Saccharomyces cerevisiae S288C: one gene and its partners. The gene in region 1 interacts genetically with each later gene. Each region holds a gene or a part of one and is shown in the gene's direction. Other genes may lie near its edges.

What was found.
Region 2: mutations in SET3 (region 1) and SPT2 together harm fitness more than expected from each alone (negative genetic interaction), as found in Saccharomyces cerevisiae (4 studies listed by BioGRID, with this or other methods).
Region 3: mutations in SET3 (region 1) and SGF11 together harm fitness less than expected from each alone (positive genetic interaction), as found in Saccharomyces cerevisiae (6 studies listed by BioGRID, with this or other methods).
Region 4: mutations in SET3 (region 1) and UBP8 together harm fitness less than expected from each alone (positive genetic interaction), as found in Saccharomyces cerevisiae (5 studies listed by BioGRID, with this or other methods).

What each region holds. Positions count from the first base shown.
Region 1 is NC_001143.9:494,154-501,437, reverse strand, and holds SET3 (histone-binding protein SET3), read left to right. Parts: upstream 1-1,604; coding exon 1,605-3,860; downstream 3,861-7,284. Other genes in the region: SPO14 (phospholipase D), read left to right, coding at 1-94; GMH1 (Gmh1p), read right to left, coding at 335-1,156; SAP190 (Sap190p), read right to left, coding at 4,080-7,181.
Region 2 is NC_001137.3:497,345-503,342, reverse strand, and holds SPT2 (Spt2p), read left to right. Parts: upstream 1-2,994; coding exon 2,995-3,996; downstream 3,997-5,998. Other genes in the region: GCG1 (gamma-glutamylcyclotransferase), read left to right, coding at 1-259; RAD4 (Rad4p), read left to right, coding at 449-2,713; YER159C-A (gag protein), read left to right, coding at 5,219-5,998. UniProt on the Saccharomyces cerevisiae protein: Histone chaperone that stabilizes pre-existing histone tetramers and regulates replication-independent histone exchange on chromatin.
Region 3 is NC_001148.4:461,150-466,761, forward strand, and holds SGF11 (SAGA histone acetyltransferase complex subunit SGF11), read left to right. Parts: upstream 1-4,812; coding exon 4,813-5,112; downstream 5,113-5,612. Other genes in the region: mannosyltransferase complex subunit MNN9, read right to left, coding at 1-817; DIG1 (Dig1p), read right to left, coding at 1,332-2,690; CAM1 (translation elongation factor EF1B gamma), read left to right, coding at 3,252-4,499; ELC1 (elongin C), read right to left, coding at 5,495-5,612. UniProt on the Saccharomyces cerevisiae protein: Component of the transcription coactivator SAGA complex. SAGA acts as a general cofactor required for essentially all RNA polymerase II transcription. At the promoters, SAGA is required for transcription pre-initiation complex (PIC) recruitment.
Region 4 is NC_001145.3:715,171-718,630, forward strand, and holds UBP8 (ubiquitin-specific protease UBP8), read left to right. Parts: upstream 1-1,544; coding exon 1,545-2,960; downstream 2,961-3,460. Other genes in the region: FMP42 (Fmp42p), read right to left, coding at 1-275; FSH2 (putative serine hydrolase), read right to left, coding at 468-1,139; MRE11 (MRX complex nuclease subunit), read right to left, coding at 3,405-3,460. UniProt on the Saccharomyces cerevisiae protein: Histone deubiquitinating enzyme component of the transcription coactivator SAGA complex. SAGA acts as a general cofactor required for essentially all RNA polymerase II transcription.

The sequences.
Region 1 (7,284 bases):
CATTTTCCCAACCGAATGGTTAGCTAAAGAAGTTGAGAGTAGAAATTGGATTTTTAACTCGGATAGACTTTCTCCAATGGAAATCTACAATTAAGGGAATATAAAAACGACCAGGAACACACCATTACCTGTATTTTCCTTTTATCTGTTATAAGCATTCGACGCTGATACATAAACAGTTTTCATTATGCATTCTTTTGGTCCATAGTGTCATTATTGCTCTTATTACTCATTGCATTTTTATACTTCAAATATATATAATAATAATATCATTATGTAATTTATGTGCTTTATCTTAAAGAACCAAATTTTTTCTATTTCCGTGTTCAATTGCTTAATAATTGTAAAAGCTTAATTTCTTGGATAAGTCGATGCCAAATAAACTGATTAAATAGATTATCGATAATCCTAATGTTGGTAAAAGTATAAAGTTCAAATTTTTCAAGAATGGCAACTGGTTGTATCCATAAAAGGTTAAAATAAAGTAATGGCCAATAGCAAAACAATATAACGAATTACCAATGAGTAAGGAAATCCAGTTTTGTAAATTAATTATGGGCAGTAGTAAAAACTGAATGAAGTATAGGCACAGTAGGATGATTAAAAATGAATTACAATGAACGTCGAAACAATAAGCCCACTCTACCACACTATTTTGGCTCGATTTGAATTTAAAATGTGACCTATTCAACAAAAGGTAAAAAATAGTTGCCATAATAAATCCAAATATGAAAAAATCTAAAATCACCATCATTACCAAACTTTTGAAAAAATGACCTATAATGCTCAAGGCCCCCATATCACTGTCGTTGTTGAAACCTGAATTATAAATCGACCAAATAATAGAACTGAGTGAAATTAAGGCTATTTGGAAGATGAAAAAGGAAGGATCATCTCTCGCCCACTGATTTTTCGTCTGTCGCTGATAATATATTGATCTATAAGCTTTTCTTGGATGGAAAATCAAATGGAACATTTCCCAGCTGGCTGTCTCGAGATCTAAATTCTTTGGCGTTTTGAAAAGCCTCCTGATTACCATCGGCACAGATTGCTGACCGTAGCCTTGTCTTGCATCGTTTTCATTACCATTATTACGCCTCCTCTGGCCTTGCGGGCCTGCTGGCAAGTCGTTGGAATAAGTCGGCAAATATGACATTGATAAATCCGTTGACTAAGTAGTGGCAATCGAAAAATTATAGTGCAAATCTGTTTCTTTCTGGCTTTTTGCAGTTATTTCAACAAAATTTAAACCTGTTAAGTTTAATATTCTAGTAAGGTCTATTGGTAATTATTTAACCGTTGGAAGTGATCGTTGTATGAAATTATCATTCTAGATTACAGGTAGTCGATACCTTTTATTATAATACTTTTATAGCATGGTATATTATTCGTAAAAAAACATTAAAGACATGAAACTAGTCCTTTGTTTCCCTGGAAATTGTTCAACCAACTCATTCATCTTACTATGTCATGATAGATGCATATCATTATCAACGACATGCTATATACAGAAAGTAGTAATAAAGGACCTTTCTAGTAAACATGATTTAAAGCGTATATACAACAGTTTTAGATCGTACTTCACAAAATACGAGAACTGAATCATGTCAGTACCTAATTCCAAAGAGCAGTCGCTCCTAGATGATGCATCCACATTGTTATTGTTTTCAAAAGGGAAAAAAAGAGCTGAAGAAGCTTCAAAAATAGGCTCTAAAACAGATACTATTGAGCATGATGAGTCTCATGAGAGAGAAAAAAAAGGAGCAATAGAAATGGCAGCAGCAGCACTGGCTACAGCATCCACAGTTTCTTTACCTTTAAAGAAAGCTACTGAGCAATCGGCGGCAGAAGCAGCAACATCCACGGCAGCAAAAGAAGAGACCGAAAATCAACCTCAAAAGCAACCTCAATGGCCGGTACCTGATTCGTATATAGTCGATCCTGACGCGGGTATAATTACATGTATATGTGATTTAAATGATGATGATGGATTCACTATCCAATGTGACCACTGCAACAGATGGCAGCATGCTATTTGCTATGGCATCAAAGATATTGGGATGGCACCTGATGATTACCTTTGCAACTCATGTGATCCAAGAGAGGTAGACATTAACTTGGCTAGGAAAATACAGCAGGAACGCATAAACGTAAAAACAGTAGAACCTTCTTCATCAAACAATAGTGCTAGTAATAAGAATAACGGTCGGGACAGAGCATCGAGTACAACTATTAGTGACGTTGGCGATAGCTTTTCAACGGATCAGGACAATACTAACCACAGGGACAAAAGAAGGAAAAGAAACCCATCAAATAATAGTATAGACTCCAAAAACGAAAGCGCTTCTGTCAATTCTTCCGATGGATTGACTTCTATGCCCAAGAAAAAAGAGCATTTCCTGAGTGCAAAAGACGCATATGGTGCAATATACTTGCCCTTGAAAGACAATGTGTTTAAAAGTGATCTGATCGAACCGTTCTTAAATAAACATATGGATGATAATTGGGTCATACAATATCCTCATAAGACCTTTAAATCTGTGTCAATTGAAGTCAAACCGTATGCTGACATTGCATATTCCAGGACTTACCCAGGCTTCACGAAATTAGGAGTTTATCTCAAAAAGGACTGCATAAAAGGTGATTTCATTCAAGAAATTTTAGGCGAATTGGACTTCTATAAAAATTATCTCACTGACCCACGAAACCATTACAGGATATGGGGTACAGCTAAAAGAAGGGTCATTTTCCATTCCCATTGGCCGATATATATAGATGCACGCTTATCAGGCAATTCAACTAGGTATTTGAGAAGAAGTTGCCAGCCGAATGTTGAATTAGTAACTATAAAACTGCAAGATACAGACAATAGGAATGACAAAAGCAGTGGAAGAAAATCAAGTAGAATAAAATTTGTTTTAAGAGCTTTGAGAGATATTTCAGAGGATGAGGAGTTATACATCAAATGGCAGTGGGATTCAAAACATCCTATATTAAAATTAATAAAGGGCATGACAATAGACTCTTTAGATGACCTTGAAAGGTATGGGCTGATAAATTCGGTAGAAACAATTTTGAGTAACGGCGAATGCGGCTGTGGAAATAATTCTAAAGATTGTTATTTATTGAAAGTGAAGAGATACGCGCAAAGTCTTTATAAATCTGTGAAATCCAGAGGAAAAATGAACAACAGATATAAATTAAATGAAATTCTCAACCAATATAATTGCAAAAAGAGACGTGAGCCACCAATTTTGCATAGGCTAGAAGAAAAGGCTCAAAATACTATAGAAAGAGCTCCAATACTTTTGAATAATTTTTATCGACAAAAATTCCTTAATCGAAATAATGGTCCAAAAATTCCTCAAAAGAATACTATTGATAGTACAAATAATCCTGATGATATTGCAAAACCCTTCAAATTCGCCTTATTTGCACAACATTCTTCTAATATTTCTGTTCCCAAAAAAAATGAAACTTCAGAAAAACCTTTAATAATTACGAAGAGCACAGATTATGACGAATCACACATTACCAATATTGAAGAATTACCAATTCCAGTTCTTTTACCAATAAACAAGACGTCAAGGCAAACTGCAAACGATGTCGAAGAGAGTCAATCAAAGAATGAACATAAATTAAGTAGAACCCCTTCTCTTTCAAATTTCAATAAAGAACTGTCAAAGGAAGCACAACACAGTCAAGCAAAAACAAAAGAAATCATGACAGAAGCTTCGGTTAATTCAAGGCGAGAATCCACTCCAGAAAGTATAATGCACTTATCAGATTTTTCGTCCTCACAACTGCATTCGAAAAAGAAATTAAGCTTTGCGGATTACAGAAAAAAACTACTGAAATAAACATGGACATTTCCTTCTTACACCTATATAAACTTAAGTATATTCAAAAGTGAATATTCATTATTCTTTATAAGATTATATTCGGTTAATATTAAATTACAAGCCTCAATTAAAAAAGTATATATTTGATGAATTATAAATGACCTATATGCGAAAAAAGTGGAGCAATAAAAAATTGATGAATAAAGGGTGAAAATGTGACAATGTGAATGTTTTAGTTCAGAAAGCTTCTTTACTTCTTGACCTATATAATGAGTAGCCCTCCTCATTGCCCATATCATTCTCTTCATCTTCATCTTCGGAGTCTTCTTCATCGCTTGATATCTCGTTATCCATTCGATCATCAACACTGGTGCCTAGTGCCACTTCTTCGTCTTCGCCATTATTATCCAATGCGGATAAAGAATTGAAAAGAATAGTCTTCGGTCTTGGTGGTGTTTTCGGGGTAGTATACAATGGATTACCAGGTCTGGCATATGACTGGCCATCATCATTAGGATCCATATAGTCATCGTCATCGCCAACACCTTCAAAGTCAAACTGATGGTGAAAAATATTCTGGTCTTGCAGTTTAGGATCTGAAGGTTGTGACCTACTAGGAAAATGGTCTGGAGGGAACAATGAAGTACCCGATGTCCATTTGTCACTCCCGTTTTCATCATTGTCCTCATTATAGAGACTATTGCCATCCCTATGTTCAGATATTTTATCGGTAAACTCTGATTCGGCACTTTTGGATTTACCATCATCACTATCATAATCATCGTCGTTAGTCTCGACGTTATTATAGTAATTTTTATTATCCACATCACTATACTCTGCGTAATCTTCTTCATTTTCTTCATTCTCGTTATTATTGAAGTTATAATATAAATCCATGTTCCCAGAATCATGCCCGTTACTAAGAAGTTCATCGTTTTCTCCATTTCCGTAGTTTTCGTTGCCCTCTGTATCACCAATTATATCCTCAGAATCAGAATTCCTAATAACATCGTCATCGCTTTCTTGGTCATTGCCAAAATCTCCCAAAACGGTGTTATACTTCTCTCTTGTATCAGCCAAGATCGTTTCACTATATTCTTTCCAAAATGGTTCCTCAAGTCGATCTGAAACAGCGGTATTGCAAAAAGTTAGCTTCATTTCATCAATATACTCTTTGAACTTCGATATTTCTTCGGCAACTAATGTCAAATGACCCATATAACCATAACGTAAACCGGTCTTTTTTTCATAGTCTTGACATGCCTTATCCGCATCTACTATCTTTTTAGTTAGGTATGCATCAACCAAATAATCTTTCAAGAGGAACCTATTATAACCAGTTTTGAGGGGACCATTGAATATTTGCTGGGCAATATCAAAAATTACATTATGCAAAAAATTATTCCAAGGGAACTCAGTGAACATATCAAGGATACTAATCAGTATCTTAGTGTCTTCTAGAGCAATCTTCAGCCTGTCTCCAACTAGCGGTTTTTCCCTTAGGCATTCTCTCACGGATTCTGTGTCAGACAAGGTTTCATCATACAACTCTACTCCAGAAGCATCATTTTCTAGCCCCTCAACTACCTTTGCGTCTGATTTCACATCTAGTTTTACACTTGATACCCCAGTATCATTTAATTCATCTTCTTCACTTCCTTGATTATTTATTTGAAGAGCGCCTAAATTTTCTGTGATATCCTTCTCTACGCAATCCTTATCATAATATGATGATTTATTGTCCACAATAGCTGTTATATTTTCCTTTTCGGTTGAAGTTTCTAATTCTTTGGCCCTTTCTATATCACGTTCTTGGGCAATCATCTCACCATTGGGCTCATTTAGCAGCGTCATATTAGAACAGTGCAATAGTTCTGCAATAAGTTCACAGATTTTAAACCTCTCAAATCCCAGAGGTTCAATATTACCGAATGGCATTTCCATTAGTGGCAACTTGGTTTTATCCAGCATATCAGCAAAATCAGGCATATGCTTAGCAAAAAGTTTGACTAAATGTATCAAGTGAATTGGATCTCGATCAGTGGGAGGGTGACTTTCTAGGGTAGTGTAGACTAGTTGGATGAAATCATAATCTGAGTTATTCTTCCTGATCAACTCTATGATAATTCCAACACCATTACTTAAGGATGTACCGCCCTTTAGCATTATCTTAATCAACTTTTCTATCATTTCTTCTGATACTAATTGCCTTGTCAATTCATTAGGACCTATTCCCGAAGCAAGTTCATTGCTTGAGTTAGTGCTTAACGTGACGAATGCCTTAATAAAATCGCCTGCCGCAGACTGAGTGGAAATACCGTATTCTGGATTAAGATGATCTAAAAGTTTAGGTATTAATTCCTGTGATTTTAGTATCTTTATGACACCCGTGGGAGAGTCAGGTTTATCCGTCGAGATAACTTTCAAAAGGAAGTCCATCAAAGACGGATTGTCAACATGTGTCAAGAACCTTGCAACCAAGCTGTCTCGGCTTAATATAAACTCTAACATCCCCGTTATATCCATATCGAGAAGTCTTTCATTTATTTTCATGAAGTAGGTGGAAGCTGGTATCGGTAAGGGAGCTGGGTGATCTAGTATCGACCACAATCTACCAAGAAGATCCTTATTTTGCATTATTGCTGCGGATATAGGCCATACATCAGCCGATAAAATTTCAGCAGCTATCCTTGCCCTTCTAGTCTCCACTTGTTCCTCAGATTCCGGTGGCAAAGTAATGCTTGTCTCTTCAGAATCAACACTTCTTTCGTCCCCAGAGTCATGATCGCTATCATTTGTAGTTTCTTCTGAGTCGCCTCCTTCTTCAGCGTCCTCCTTTTTATCCTTTCTGTCTCTTTCTATCAAAATAGGATGATCGTTTACACCTTCAATAATCTCTGGCTTTTTAGCGCTATCTGTTTCTTCGTCGAGAATCTTCTCGTTGGTAACATATTCTATCAATTTTGATAAAACATCAGGATACTTCAAGAATATTAGTAGCTTGAAATTTGAACACATTAATTCCGTATACAGTTCGTCATCATCCAGCAAATCGTCTAAGACGTCCAAATTAGGTCTATAATTTTCATATTCCGATTCTGTAGTGGGCAGAGTATTTTCTTCTTCCTTCTCTTCGTTCTCGTTAACTACATTATCTTCAGAAGCAGCGTAGTCATGTGAAGAGTTATCTTCGTCATCAGCAATATTTTCTTCACATGTGCCGGTAGGTACGTCGTCATCTTGGTCCTTATTGATTTTAATAAAGGCACTATTTAGAATCTTAGAAACCGGTGACTCTATCGAGTAATCCTGACCAAACTTCCAGAAAGAACCTGACATGCTATTATAATCTTCTCGCAGTTAAGTAAATGAAGAAATGAAATAAAAGAAGAGGATAACAGGACTTATCAACTAAACGCTAAAGTAAATGAACAAACAAAAC
Region 2 (5,998 bases), on another chromosome or scaffold:
GCACAACAAATCGGGTAAACGGGTACTACTTACTTCGGTGTACATTGGTACAATAGATAATGAGGCCTTCGTCGGACCAGAGACCGTGGATGAAACTGCGAAAGTAATTGCCGTGTCGCATGGACCTAGTGGATCTAACTATGAATACCTTGCAAAACTGGAGCAAGCGCTAGCGCAAATGCCCATCATGAAAGAGCGAGGGCGTATTACCGATCATTATCTGACTGCTCTATTGGAGACTGTAAATAAATACAGGTGAATGAAATATGTATACATATCTTGATTAACTATGTAAGGTTCTCCTCTTGCTTTTCTACCATCTATATAGTGCGGCGGAAAATGGAAAAATGCGGTTAAGTACCTTTAATGCATGCACAATATATGCAAATTTTATGCAGTTCAAACAGGACGACAAGCAGAGACATAACGACACTATTTTTCCGCTAAAATGAATGAAGACCTGCCCAAGGAATATTTTGAACTAATAAGGAAGGCTCTTAACGAGAAAGAGGCAGAAAAAGCGCCCCTGAGTAGAAGAAGAAGAGTCAGAAGGAAGAACCAGCCCCTACCAGATGCCAAGAAGAAGTTTAAAACAGGGTTGAATGAATTGCCACGAGAAAGCGTTGTTACTGTAAACTTAGATTCTTCAGATGATGGCGTCGTTACGGTACCGACGGATGATAGTGTAGAGGAAATCCAGTCATCTGAAGAAGATTATGATTCGGAGGAATTTGAAGACGTGACAGATGGAAATGAGGTGGCCGGTGTAGAAGATATATCTGTTGAAATTAAGCCCTCTAGTAAAAGGAATAGTGATGCTAGAAGGACAAGCCGCAACGTTTGTTCTAATGAAGAACGGAAAAGGAGAAAATATTTCCACATGTTGTATCTAGTTTGCTTGATGGTTCATGGATTTATACGAAATGAATGGATTAACAGCAAGCGCTTGTCTAGAAAACTGAGCAACTTAGTTCCTGAGAAAGTGTTTGAGCTACTGCATCCTCAGAAAGATGAGGAACTCCCACTTAGGAGTACTAGGAAATTATTAGATGGGTTGAAGAAATGCATGGAGTTATGGCAAAAACACTGGAAGATCACTAAAAAATATGATAATGTGGGACTTTATATGAGAACCTGGAAAGAAATTGAAATGAGCGCCAATAACAAAAGAAAATTCAAGACGTTGAAAAGATCTGACTTTTTAAGGGCCGTCAGTAAAGGTCACGGAGATCCTGATATTTCAGTGCAAGGTTTCGTTGCGATGCTCAGGGCTTGTAATGTTAACGCACGACTTATCATGTCATGTCAACCGCCAGATTTTACCAATATGAAGATTGACACTTCTTTGAATGGAAACAATGCGTACAAAGATATGGTCAAGTATCCGATTTTTTGGTGTGAAGTGTGGGACAAATTCTCTAAGAAATGGATAACTGTTGACCCAGTAAATCTCAAAACCATTGAACAGGTCAGACTTCATTCCAAGTTGGCACCGAAAGGCGTGGCGTGCTGCGAAAGAAATATGTTGAGGTACGTGATTGCTTACGATCGGAAGTATGGCTGTAGAGATGTAACTCGAAGATATGCCCAATGGATGAACTCTAAAGTAAGAAAAAGAAGAATTACTAAAGATGACTTTGGTGAGAAATGGTTCAGAAAAGTGATAACAGCACTTCACCATAGAAAGAGAACCAAAATTGATGATTACGAAGATCAATATTTTTTTCAGAGAGATGAAAGTGAAGGCATACCAGATTCGGTGCAGGATTTGAAAAACCACCCATATTATGTTTTAGAACAAGATATCAAACAGACTCAAATTGTAAAGCCAGGATGTAAAGAGTGTGGATATTTAAAAGTACATGGAAAAGTTGGGAAGGTTTTGAAAGTTTATGCAAAAAGAGATATTGCGGATTTGAAAAGTGCTAGACAATGGTACATGAACGGCCGAATTTTAAAAACTGGTAGCAGGTGTAAAAAGGTGATAAAGAGGACAGTTGGAAGGCCTAAGGGCGAAGCAGAAGAAGAAGATGAAAGATTATATAGCTTTGAAGACACAGAATTATACATCCCTCCATTAGCCAGTGCGAGCGGTGAAATAACCAAGAATACATTTGGAAACATCGAAGTTTTTGCACCAACGATGATACCTGGTAACTGTTGTTTGGTTGAGAATCCTGTGGCAATTAAAGCTGCTAGGTTTTTGGGGGTGGAATTTGCACCTGCTGTAACTTCTTTTAAGTTTGAACGCGGCAGTACAGTTAAGCCAGTTTTAAGTGGCATTGTTGTTGCAAAGTGGCTCAGAGAAGCTATTGAAACCGCTATTGATGGAATAGAGTTTATTCAAGAGGATGATAATAGGAAGGAACATTTGCTTGGTGCTTTGGAGAGTTGGAATACTTTACTGCTAAAACTGCGTATTCGTAGCAAGCTGAACTCCACATATGGTAAAATTGCCGAGGAAGAACCTAACGTTACGAAGGAACAGAATATTGCGGACAATCACGATAATACGGAGACTTTTATGGGAGGTGGGTTCCTACCAGGTATAGCAAACCACGAAGCAAGGCCGTATAGTGAACCTTCAGAGCCAGAAGATAGTTTAGATTATGTTTCTGTTGACAAAGCGGAGGAAAGTGCTACAGACGACGATGTCGGGGAGGATTATTCGGATTTTATGAAAGAACTAGAGATGTCAGAGGAATCAGACTGAAATGAGGCTGAAACGGTTTGAATAATTAGGAAAGTATGTTTTTAATAAAGAAATTCTATGTTCAGGAATTTTGTATATACTTTGTAATGAATGAGAACTTAGTTGGCTTCAAACTTTTTCGTTTAACATGATTATTTTTCTTGTTCGACTAAGATATTCCCACATGGACAAGTGCCACAGATTAATATATGAATACAATAAAATAACTAGTGTAATTTGAAAATAAAAGTTGATGAGAGGGACAGGGACTTGAGTCCTATTCAAAGTGAAATATTTTAGTTATGAGTTTTCTTTCCAAACTTTCCCAAATACGAAAATCAACGACTGCATCAAAAGCCCAAGTGCAAGATCCATTACCCAAGAAGAATGACGAAGAGTATTCCTTGTTACCCAAAAATTACATAAGAGACGAAGATCCTGCAGTAAAAAGATTGAAGGAGCTGAGGCGGCAGGAACTGTTAAAGAATGGTGCTTTGGCTAAAAAAAGTGGTGTAAAACGGAAACGTGGCACCTCATCTGGATCTGAGAAAAAGAAAATAGAAAGGAATGACGATGATGAAGGTGGCCTTGGAATTAGGTTTAAGAGGTCTATTGGAGCAAGTCATGCGCCACTCAAGCCAGTTGTAAGGAAGAAACCTGAACCTATCAAAAAGATGTCATTTGAAGAGCTAATGAAACAAGCGGAAAATAATGAGAAACAGCCCCCAAAAGTTAAGTCATCGGAACCCGTAACTAAGGAACGCCCACATTTTAACAAGCCAGGTTTCAAAAGTTCAAAAAGACCACAAAAGAAAGCATCCCCTGGCGCAACATTGCGTGGAGTATCTTCTGGAGGCAATAGCATAAAATCATCAGACTCACCCAAGCCCGTCAAGCTCAACTTGCCCACAAATGGATTTGCTCAACCTAATAGGAGATTAAAAGAAAAGTTAGAATCTAGAAAACAGAAATCAAGATACCAGGATGACTATGATGAAGAAGATAACGATATGGATGATTTTATAGAAGACGATGAAGATGAAGGTTACCACAGCAAATCGAAACACAGCAATGGTCCCGGATATGATCGTGACGAAATTTGGGCTATGTTCAATAGAGGCAAGAAGCGGTCAGAATACGATTACGATGAGCTTGAGGATGATGATATGGAAGCAAATGAGATGGAAATCTTGGAAGAGGAGGAAATGGCAAGAAAAATGGCAAGGTTAGAGGATAAACGTGAGGAAGCTTGGTTAAAAAAGCATGAAGAGGAGAAGAGACGCCGTAAGAAGGGCATACGCTAAGGAATATTGATATATGTTTTGATATATGGACGTGAAATGACTAATGAAGTCGTAGAGAGTTTGGGAACTGTTTCGAGGCACTGTTTCACTTCTTACATTCATTTTCATACCCTTTGTAATTGCGTTTTCCATTTATCCAGTTTGCCTGTCCGATTTTCAAACGTACAGTGATGATATGCATCAGTTGGGTTAGAACATTTATATTGTGTATCGCCCATAATTCTATAAACTTTACTATGTAAAAATAAAAATGAACCTTCACTATTCTTTCAAGACGGACTGAAAATTTAAAGACTTGGTTGTTGCAGTTGATCGATTATACAAGACTAACAATTCCAGTATCATTTTTGCCTTAATTTGAGACCTTTTTCAACAAGATTCGCGGCAACGTAGTTGTATTTTTTTTTTTCCACAACCCGTTTCCTTACAAAAGCATTCGGAAACTAAACATAAATATGGACCAGCTTTACAAGAGCTATGGTATGTTCATATTATTAGGATATATTAGGTGAGATATTAAAAAATGAAACAAATTGTGTCACCAGTTAGATAGGATTCAAGTAGTCATTAAAATAGAAACAAGCGTTTAGGGTATGCGTTAAAAGAAACTCTAGCAACCTCCAATTGCCAGTGAAAAACTTCCCGAGAAATACTACAACGACAGTGATACATCATACACTTAATAACACTGTAAGGTCCTCAGTTTTTCCAGGTGGAAGGATCAAATACATACCCTTAATCAATATAAGTAAGTCGAAGGAAGAGATTCGAGCAATGCATTAAAATATGATATTTCAACACATTGACTAAAACGGTTGTATATTCTTAGCCCACTGTGTTGTATCTCAAAATGAGATACGTCAGTATGACAATACGTCATCCTAAACGTTCATAAAACACATATGAAACAACCTTATAACAAAACTGTTGGAATAAAAATCCACTATCGTCTATCAACTAATAGTTATATTATCAATATATTATCATATACGGTGTTAAGATGATGACATAAGTTATGAGAAGCTGTCATCGATGTTAGAGGAAGCTGAAACGCAAGGATTGATAATGTAATAGGATCAATGAATATAAACATATAAAACGGAATGAGGAATAATCGTAATATTAGTATGTAGAAATATAGATCCCATTTTGAGGATTCCTATATCCTCGAGGAGAACTTCTAGTATATTCTGTATACCTAATATTATAGCCTTTATCAACAATGGAATCCCAACAATTATCTAATTACCCACATATATCTCATGGTAGCGCCTGTGCTTCGGTTACTTCTAAGGAAGTCCACACAAATCAAGATCCGTTAGACGTTTCAGCTTCCAAAATTCAAGAATATGATAAGGCTTCCACTAAGGCTAACTCTCAACAGACAACAACACCTGCTTCATCAGCTGTTCCAGAGAACCCCCATCATGCCTCTCCTCAACCTGCTTCAGTACCACCTCCACAGAATGGGCCGTACCCACAGCAGTGCATGATGACCCAAAACCAAGCCAATCCATCTGGTTGGTCATTTTACGGACACCCATCTATGATTCCGTATACACCTTATCAAATGTCGCCTATGTACTTTCCACCTGGGCCACAATCACAGTTTCCGCAGTATCCATCATCAGTTGGAACGCCTCTGAGCACTCCATCACCTGAGTCAGGTAATACATTTACTGATTCATCCTCAGCGGACTCTGATATGACATCCACTAAAAAATATGTCAGACCACCACCAATGTTAACCTCACCTAATGATTTTCCAAATTGGGTTAAAACATACATCAAATTTTTACAAAACTCGAATCTCGGTGGTATTATTCCGACAGTAAACGGAAAACCCGTACGTCAGATCACTGATGATGAACTCACCTTCTTGTATAACACTTTTCAAATATTTGCTCCCTCTCAATTCCTACCTACCTGGGTCAAAGACATCCTATCCGTTGATTATACGGATATCATGAAAATTCTTTCCAAAAGTATTGAAAAAATGCAA
Region 3 (5,612 bases), on another chromosome or scaffold:
GCTTCTTCTCTTCATCGTAAAATCTTTGATAAATGTTTGCAGCTAAGATAGCTTTGTTGTGTTTGGTCATGTCTTGAATTAAAGATGGTGGTGTCTCTATAATATCGGCATCTAGCCACAGCACCCAAGAAGTGTGAGGTCCTATGGTGGAGAATAGTAATTCATTGCGCGCCAAAGCCATTGCTGCACGTCTTTCCTTTTGAACATCTAAAGCGTGTCTTTCCTTCTCCATCAACTTATCAAAACTCTGGGAATTCTGTCGCAAAATAGTAATTTTACTAAATCTTTGAGTTTTCTTGTCCGTTTGAACCTTTTTAATAGCATTCTCCAATTTCTTTAAGGCCAAGTCACCAGTGGCTGTTCTTGGTGTAATGAACCCCAATTCAATCAATTCCCGAGGGTAATTTAGCTGCAGCAAATTGTCCCAGTATTGTTGATGAAATGTTTGCATTGGAGTCAATATCAAAATATGCTCCTTATTGACAGCTGCTTCTGACGTAGAGTGCAATTTGTTCAAATCATAATGTGCAATATGACCTTCTGGGATAATATCTTCCACGTGATCGTTGAACAACCAGCCGCTTTTTTTCTTATAAGAGTACTTTGGCATTTTGTATTTCTTGGTGAAGGGAAAATAAAATGTGTTTTCCTTTTCGTGTGCCCATTTGTGTTGGGAAATGGACTGGCCATTAAGTCCCAACAGAGATTGATCTCTCTGGAAAAAAATTATATATATTAGAAATATGGCCAAAACAGGTAGAAAAATGTTAACCCACGGGTTCTTTCTTAGGCGGTACGATACAAGAGAAAGTGACATTGTTTCCTAACTTTTTATTCTAGCTCTTTTAAATTCTTCTGTTTGAAAAATACTAAAATTGATGCTATTCTCTTCTTACTTTCACAAAGTGCGGAAGGAAAAATAGGTTCAGAAATAACGGGTCCCAAGAGCGGCTAACAGAAAATAATAAAAGCTTTTCTACCAATTGAGAATCCGCTTGGTTGACGACTTTTCCTCCTTTATTATTCTTGATTTGGTGTTCTGTTTTACTTATATCAAAATACTTCAACGCCAAATCCGCTACAACGATGGAAAGGAAAAAAAAAAAAAAAAAAAAAAGACAAACCAATGCTGTCGTGTCTAGTGACGATAAAGGCTGTAACTATTAATAAGGTGAATACTCACCCTCATCTTTTAGTTTATCAAACTTATATAAAAATTGTGTATGTACTGAATTGTCCTTGGTGTGCGAGTGAGAGTGTGTGTGTGAGTGCGTGTGTGAGTAGGTGAGTGTATGCGAGTGTATGTAAGTTTATAAGTGCCTGTGTGGCTACTATTTTCCGGTTCTGTGATGTGATGATGATTTTTTTGTCAGCTCCTTTGATTCATTCCATACTTTATTACATATGCTCATAAACATTTTCTTGTCTACATTGCTAGAGCTCAGGGGGAACTCGAAGGCAAAAATATGCGATGAGAGTCGGATTTCGCCTTGAAGAAGACTAGGTGATTGCTGCTGCGGCTGCGAGGTCCGCTGGAACGTAGTAAAAGTGGGAGTGGGGACCGCTCCGTCCTCGATGGCCAAGTCCGTACCCTCTTCTTCGTCTTTATTGGGTTCTGCCTCATGCCATGAACTCCTGTCCCGGTTTGTGCTTGTGCTTGTACTTGTGCTTGTGCTTGCGCTTCTGGCTTTCGTGTTGGCCGAGAGTAATGCATCCCGTTCAAAGTGGTATTCTTCAGCAGGTATCATATCTGCTGGGCGTAGATCCGCGCGCTGTTGCGTAGGACCGGCATTCGCACTTGATCCTACGCTAGAATTTCTTGAGCCTTCCTCGGATCGTCTGGTTTTCCCAGTGGAAGCGGTGCCACTCAAAGGCGAATCATATGAGTCGTTAACCCTCTTGTTTCTGTAATTGCTAGCACTATACTCATTTTCTTCGTAGGGCCTAGCGTTGCCACCTTGCATAGCATAAGGAATGGAGGTCCGCGGTCCCATTGGATATGGATACGACACGTAGGGTGTCATTATGGGCTTGTTCAGCATGTGAGGTGGAGGGATACCGTACGGATTATAATATGGTGACATTATGTAGCGATTCATGGGCATGTAAGGGTTCATGGCGCTCATGATGCCCGCCGAGGGCATGTGTGGTTTCCCATAACTATTGCTGCTATTATTCACTTGTATAGATTGTCTAGAACTGGCCTTTCCCAAGTATTGGACACGGGGCTGGAACTTGGAATGCTGAGTAACTTGTGCGGGCGCGCTTTTCACGTTTTGATTAGCAACAGGAGGAAAATGTGCAGAGTTAGACGAAGCCAAGTTGCCGTCCTTAATATTACCACCGTGTGTATTAGTGTTGCTATCCGATAAATTCAAAGGCGCCGGGACTCTGCCCCTCTTCAATGATTTCTTCGGATTCTTCAATGGTTGGGCTTTCCTCTTCTTCGCAGTGGCTGTCTCAGAATCCTCATGATCTGCTTCCTTGTCACCAGAGTCATCCTCCTCAGGGACATGCTCTAGCTCCGACTCCTGACCAACGCTGTTTCCGCCTGGCGAATTCTTAATGTTGCTATCGCTGCTGCCCTTAGCATTTGCTACACTGATTTCTGTATCACCAATTGGATCTTGTGTTGATTTAGCAATGGATGTATCCTCGGCAGTCGTTCTCAAACGGGCTGATACGGCCATTCTCACTTTCTATTTTCTTCTTTGAGAAACAATACCAAAATTTGTTACTGATTTGATTCTTTTTAAGTGCGTTTCTTCTGTATAAGCTAAAAAAACGCAAAGCACAAAGCGGAAAAACTAAACCTAATAAACTTCCCCCAGCGAGAAACAGATGTAAAGAACAACCGTATCAAGTGGCGAAGCAGCTGCTTATAAGTAAAGCCCAAGGCCCACCAACGCATACATGCAAGGCCTGTGCAAGCCGACTGCTGCTTGTTTCATCTTCCGCTCGCGGTGACCCACTCGGGGAATTTCTCACGCTTGCTGCTGCAGGTCGTTGGGCGTTGATTCCTGTTTTTTTCTTTCGTTTTTTCAATCCGCGGGAGTGAGACATGATTAGTGTAGTCCTTGTAGAGTTCCTTATTTATTTTTTTATTAGTTTTCTTGTTTTCGTTTATCAGCAGGGTTTGGTTGTGTTGCTTGGCAGCCCGCAAATTGGTCTTCCCTCCTTGTTATTGTATTTTCTGTTATTAGAGCATACAGAACATAGAAACTCAAGATCAGATACAGTTTTTGCACGCCATGTCTCAAGGTACTTTATATGCTAACTTCAGAATTAGAACTTGGGTCCCAAGAGGTCTTGTCAAGGCTTTGAAGCTGGACGTTAAGGTTGTTACGCCAGATGCCGCCGCTGAACAGTTCGCAAGGGACTTTCCCTTGAAGAAGGTTCCGGCTTTCGTGGGTCCAAAGGGTTACAAGCTAACCGAGGCAATGGCGATTAACTATTATTTAGTAAAGCTTTCACAGGACGACAAGATGAAGACTCAACTTTTAGGTGCCGACGATGACTTAAATGCCCAAGCGCAAATCATCAGATGGCAATCTTTGGCCAACAGTGATCTGTGCATCCAGATTGCCAACACCATCGTTCCCTTGAAGGGCGGCGCCCCCTACAACAAGAAGAGCGTTGATTCTGCGATGGACGCTGTTGACAAGATCGTCGACATCTTCGAGAACAGATTGAAAAACTACACCTATTTGGCTACGGAAAACATCTCCTTGGCCGACTTGGTGGCTGCCTCGATTTTCACCAGATACTTTGAAAGCCTGTTCGGTACTGAATGGAGAGCTCAACATCCAGCCATCGTGAGATGGTTCAACACCGTTAGAGCCTCACCCTTCTTGAAGGATGAATACAAGGATTTCAAGTTCGCTGACAAGCCATTGAGTCCCCCTCAAAAGAAGAAGGAAAAGAAGGCCCCAGCCGCCGCTCCCGCCGCTTCGAAGAAGAAGGAGGAAGCCAAGCCAGCTGCTACCGAAACTGAAACTTCTTCCAAGAAACCAAAGCACCCATTAGAATTATTGGGCAAGTCAACTTTCGTTTTGGATGACTGGAAGAGAAAGTACTCCAATGAAGACACCAGACCAGTTGCTTTACCTTGGTTTTGGGAGCACTACAACCCAGAAGAGTATTCCCTGTGGAAAGTCACCTACAAGTACAACGATGAATTGACTTTGACTTTCATGTCCAACAACTTGGTCGGTGGTTTCTTCAACAGATTGTCCGCCTCTACCAAGTACATGTTCGGTTGTCTGGTAGTCTACGGTGAAAACAACAACAACGGTATTGTTGGTGCAGTTATGGTTAGGGGCCAAGATTACGTTCCAGCTTTCGATGTCGCACCAGATTGGGAATCTTACGACTATGCAAAGTTGGATCCAACTAACGACGACGACAAAGAATTCATCAATAACATGTGGGCCTGGGATAAGCCAGTTTCCGTCAATGGCGAACCAAAGGAAATTGTTGACGGTAAGGTCTTAAAATAATCTCTTCGTACTATCCTTCATGTCGCCTTTTATTATAAAGTATGCTAGGTAGTTTTATCTATATCTTATTTATGACGCAATATAGGGTAACAGAGTTTTTCTGCTCTGAAACTTCCGCAGAAAAAAAATCAAGTTTTCCTTTTCGTATCTTGGATTATTGTTATATAATAGATGCATGTATTATATGTATAGCAGTGATTTGCTTATTTTCTTGATTCTGAGGAATCGAAGAAGTAACTTAGCGTTTCTTCCGTTGAGCAGAGCAGTATAATAATCCTTCAAATTCTTTAGGTTACGGGGTTTTCCTGTTGCGATGACCGAAGAAACTATTACTATAGATTCTATTTCAAATGGGATACTGAATAACCTGTTAACCACATTGATCCAGGACATTGTAGCTCGGGAAACCACTCAACAACAATTGCTGAAGACAAGATATCCGGATCTTCGCAGTTATTATTTCGACCCGAACGGATCTCTCGATATTAATGGACTACAGAAGCAACAAGAGTCCTCTCAGTATATTCACTGTGAGAATTGTGGCAGGGATGTGTCCGCAAACAGACTAGCAGCTCATTTACAGAGATGTTTGAGTAGGGGTGCTAGACGTTGACACTAGGTGGTGGTTTATGGGTAATTGAAAAGGCACAGACAGATTTTAGCCCATTTCTTGTGGGCATAGGTTCATAAAAAAAGCAAGATTCTTACATTTTATGCGGCATATCTGCACATAGAAGTTCATGTAGTTATGTGGTAACATCTCAAAGAGAGAAGGCGAAAACTGTTTTAGCTATTAACTACATGTTTTTATAATAGCACCTCCCATATATGATGCCAAATGATACCTTGCATTCCGTTATGTGGAAGGGTTACACATAAGTACGCTATAACAATGCATTCAATTTTCTACATATCAGAGTAATATGCTGCAACATCACACCCATATAATATAATTTTTTGAAAGAGTTCCTAACTCTTTTTTGTTTTTCCTGTACCTATATACTCAAATAGTCCGCCGCAAGTAGCAGCTCTAACGACATTTCTGTCGGTATTTCAAACTCTGGAATCTCATCATCGTCCTCGCTAACGCCGCTGTACTTCAAATTATAATTT
Region 4 (3,460 bases), on another chromosome or scaffold:
ACACGAGGTCCATACATATCCAAAATCTTACCGACAGGAAGGGCCATGATGTTTGTTACAGTAGCACTGAGAGCAAATATAAAATTTAATTTCAGATCCTGTGCAGTACATAATAATCTATCACCATCCTTAGGATCACACAATTCATGGTATACACCTTCTGAAATTAAAATAGGTTTCAAAGCAGCAAATCCAAAGATAATACCAGCTGAAAAAAGACACCAGATACAAGCACAGGCAACCTGTGCGTATCTCAACGTTCTTGTACTGGTCATTACAGTCTTTACTGCCCTAATACTGGCCTAACGAGGAATAAAATCATTTATAGATGCCATTGTTATCGTTATCATAATGAAGCATCGTATCGGTAGTTAAGTTAATTTGACGTATTATTACCCGGAGGATTTAATCATGTATAAATATGTATGTGAAGATTATGTGAAGATTACGTGCTATATATACTTGCCTCAGGTCAACTGCTGGAGCCATTGAGCCACTTTTCTCACAAACCCTCTTGAGTTCGGCACAAAGTGGCCCCCAGAGTGCATTAGTAAAGTGCGAGAGTCTTCCGTACAAGAGTTATATAGGCCTTGCACTTTGGCCGGCTCTGTGATAGTGTCAAGTTCTCCTTGAACATGTAGAGATGGGACCGATATTGGATGCAGGTCGTACTGTTCTTGATACTGTTGTGGTTGGAACCTGAAACCACTGACCGCCATGAAAAATTCTAGCGGCGGCTGTTCTTCTGTTGTAAGGCCCAACAAACCATTGAAATCCGTTGCTAGGTATCCAGCTACACCGGCTCCTTGACTAAATCCTACAATACCTGCAAATGGACCATTTTCAAGGACATAATTGTGTAAATAGTCGATTGTCGTCTGCGGTATGAAATAGCCACCGGTGGAAGGGTCATTCTCTAGCCACGCAAGCACACCGGTATTCTCACCATCCCCAGGTGCATCAGCAATTACCTCACCCAAGAAATCAGGAACATCAGCTGGGGGAAATTCATTGGGTGCTGTTGGATAGTAGAGTTTATATCCTAACTTTTCCATTTCGGCGCGAAACCCCTTTGTCTTAGAGGCAAAGTAGTCACCTGACTGCGCAAGCCCATGTAACATCAATACATTCTTCGTCATGGTTACAGCTATTAAATCTTATAGTCTTGTAGTATTGCACATTCTTTCTTCACTTATACCTTTTTTTTCTTCTCTATTCTTCCTTTTTTTGCTTTTCTTTGAATTTTTCAAGTGAAAAAAAATCCTCGATTATAGTGTGTAAAAAGCATCAATAATTTATATTGTATATGGGCTAGAAAGCTGTCGTAATAGCAAAGGGATTATATTAGTGGACCTGATTAATTCTAAAAAGATATTTTACGGATAATAATAAAGGTTTTCTTTTGAGACCAGTTAGTCCATTTCTTTCAACTGGCTGTCATAATTTTGAATACTATTTATTGATCGGATCAAAAGGGAAAACTACAGCTTCGGTCCTCGTCGTCCTACTTGAAACCCTGCTTTTTTTATTTGTTATTAATAATTATGAGCATTTGTCCACATATACAGCAAGTATTTCAGAATGAAAAGTCTAAAGATGGGGTTCTAAAAACGTGCAATGCTGCCAGGTATATATTAAATCATTCCGTACCCAAGGAAAAATTCTTAAACACCATGAAATGTGGTACATGCCACGAAATAAACTCTGGTGCAACTTTCATGTGTCTACAATGTGGATTTTGTGGATGTTGGAACCATTCGCATTTTCTCTCTCACAGTAAACAGATTGGTCACATATTTGGTATCAACTCAAATAATGGCCTTTTATTTTGCTTCAAATGTGAGGACTATATAGGGAATATCGATCTGATTAACGATGCTATCCTAGCGAAGTATTGGGACGACGTGTGCACAAAGACCATGGTTCCTAGCATGGAAAGAAGAGATGGGCTTTCTGGCCTGATCAACATGGGATCCACTTGTTTCATGAGTAGTATTCTCCAATGTCTAATCCATAACCCTTACTTTATTAGGCACTCAATGAGTCAAATTCATTCTAATAATTGTAAAGTGCGTTCTCCAGATAAATGTTTTTCATGTGCACTCGATAAAATTGTTCATGAACTTTATGGAGCGCTGAATACAAAGCAAGCTTCTTCGTCATCTACATCTACTAATCGGCAAACCGGATTCATATATCTTTTAACTTGTGCCTGGAAAATCAATCAAAATCTAGCAGGGTATTCACAACAAGATGCTCATGAATTTTGGCAGTTTATAATTAACCAAATCCACCAAAGCTATGTTCTTGATTTGCCAAATGCCAAGGAAGTCAGCAGAGCAAATAATAAGCAGTGTGAATGCATAGTGCATACTGTGTTTGAGGGCTCCTTGGAAAGTTCTATTGTGTGTCCAGGCTGTCAAAATAATTCAAAGACAACCATTGATCCATTCTTGGATCTTTCTCTGGATATCAAGGATAAGAAAAAACTTTATGAATGTCTTGACAGTTTCCATAAAAAAGAACAGTTGAAGGATTTCAACTATCATTGTGGGGAGTGTAACAGCACTCAAGATGCAATAAAGCAACTAGGCATACACAAATTACCATCGGTTTTGGTTTTGCAATTGAAAAGATTCGAACACCTACTTAATGGAAGTAACAGAAAACTAGACGATTTTATTGAATTTCCAACTTATTTAAATATGAAAAATTACTGTTCAACGAAGGAAAAAGATAAGCATTCTGAAAATGGCAAGGTTCCAGACATTATTTACGAATTAATCGGTATTGTTTCCCACAAGGGGACGGTTAATGAGGGACATTATATTGCATTTTGTAAAATTTCTGGAGGGCAATGGTTTAAATTCAATGATTCCATGGTCTCCTCTATATCTCAAGAAGAGGTTTTAAAGGAACAGGCATATTTATTATTCTACACCATTCGTCAAGTAAATTGATTCAGCAAATAGCATTCAACAATAATAATAAAACAAAAAAGAAGAAAAAGCTATGCATATTCCTATCACAGTTAACGCTTGCTTCCGTTCTTTTTTCTATATCATCGTTTCCATCATGTTTTTCTTTAAATTGAATACTTTCCTATGCTCTTAATGAGTTGCGATTGTGCATATACTGTATTTCAAAATCCTTTGTATCTAACTAAGGAAGAAAATTACTATGACGTTTATTCAGGATTTTTTTTTTTCATTCCTTGCTATACGAACAAAAGAGCAAAGGCTGGAAAACTAAGTGAGTTTATATATAGTAATAATTAAAGAACATATCATTATCATGAATTTAGAATGCAAATTTGCTCCTCTCAAAATGGCATACCTTGTTGTTCGCGAAGGCAAGCCCTTGGTTATAAATAGGATATAATATAATATAGGGATCAAGTACAACTATTTTCTTTTCTTAGCAAGGAGACTTCCAAGAATATCCGTCTTTGGCGTCCTTG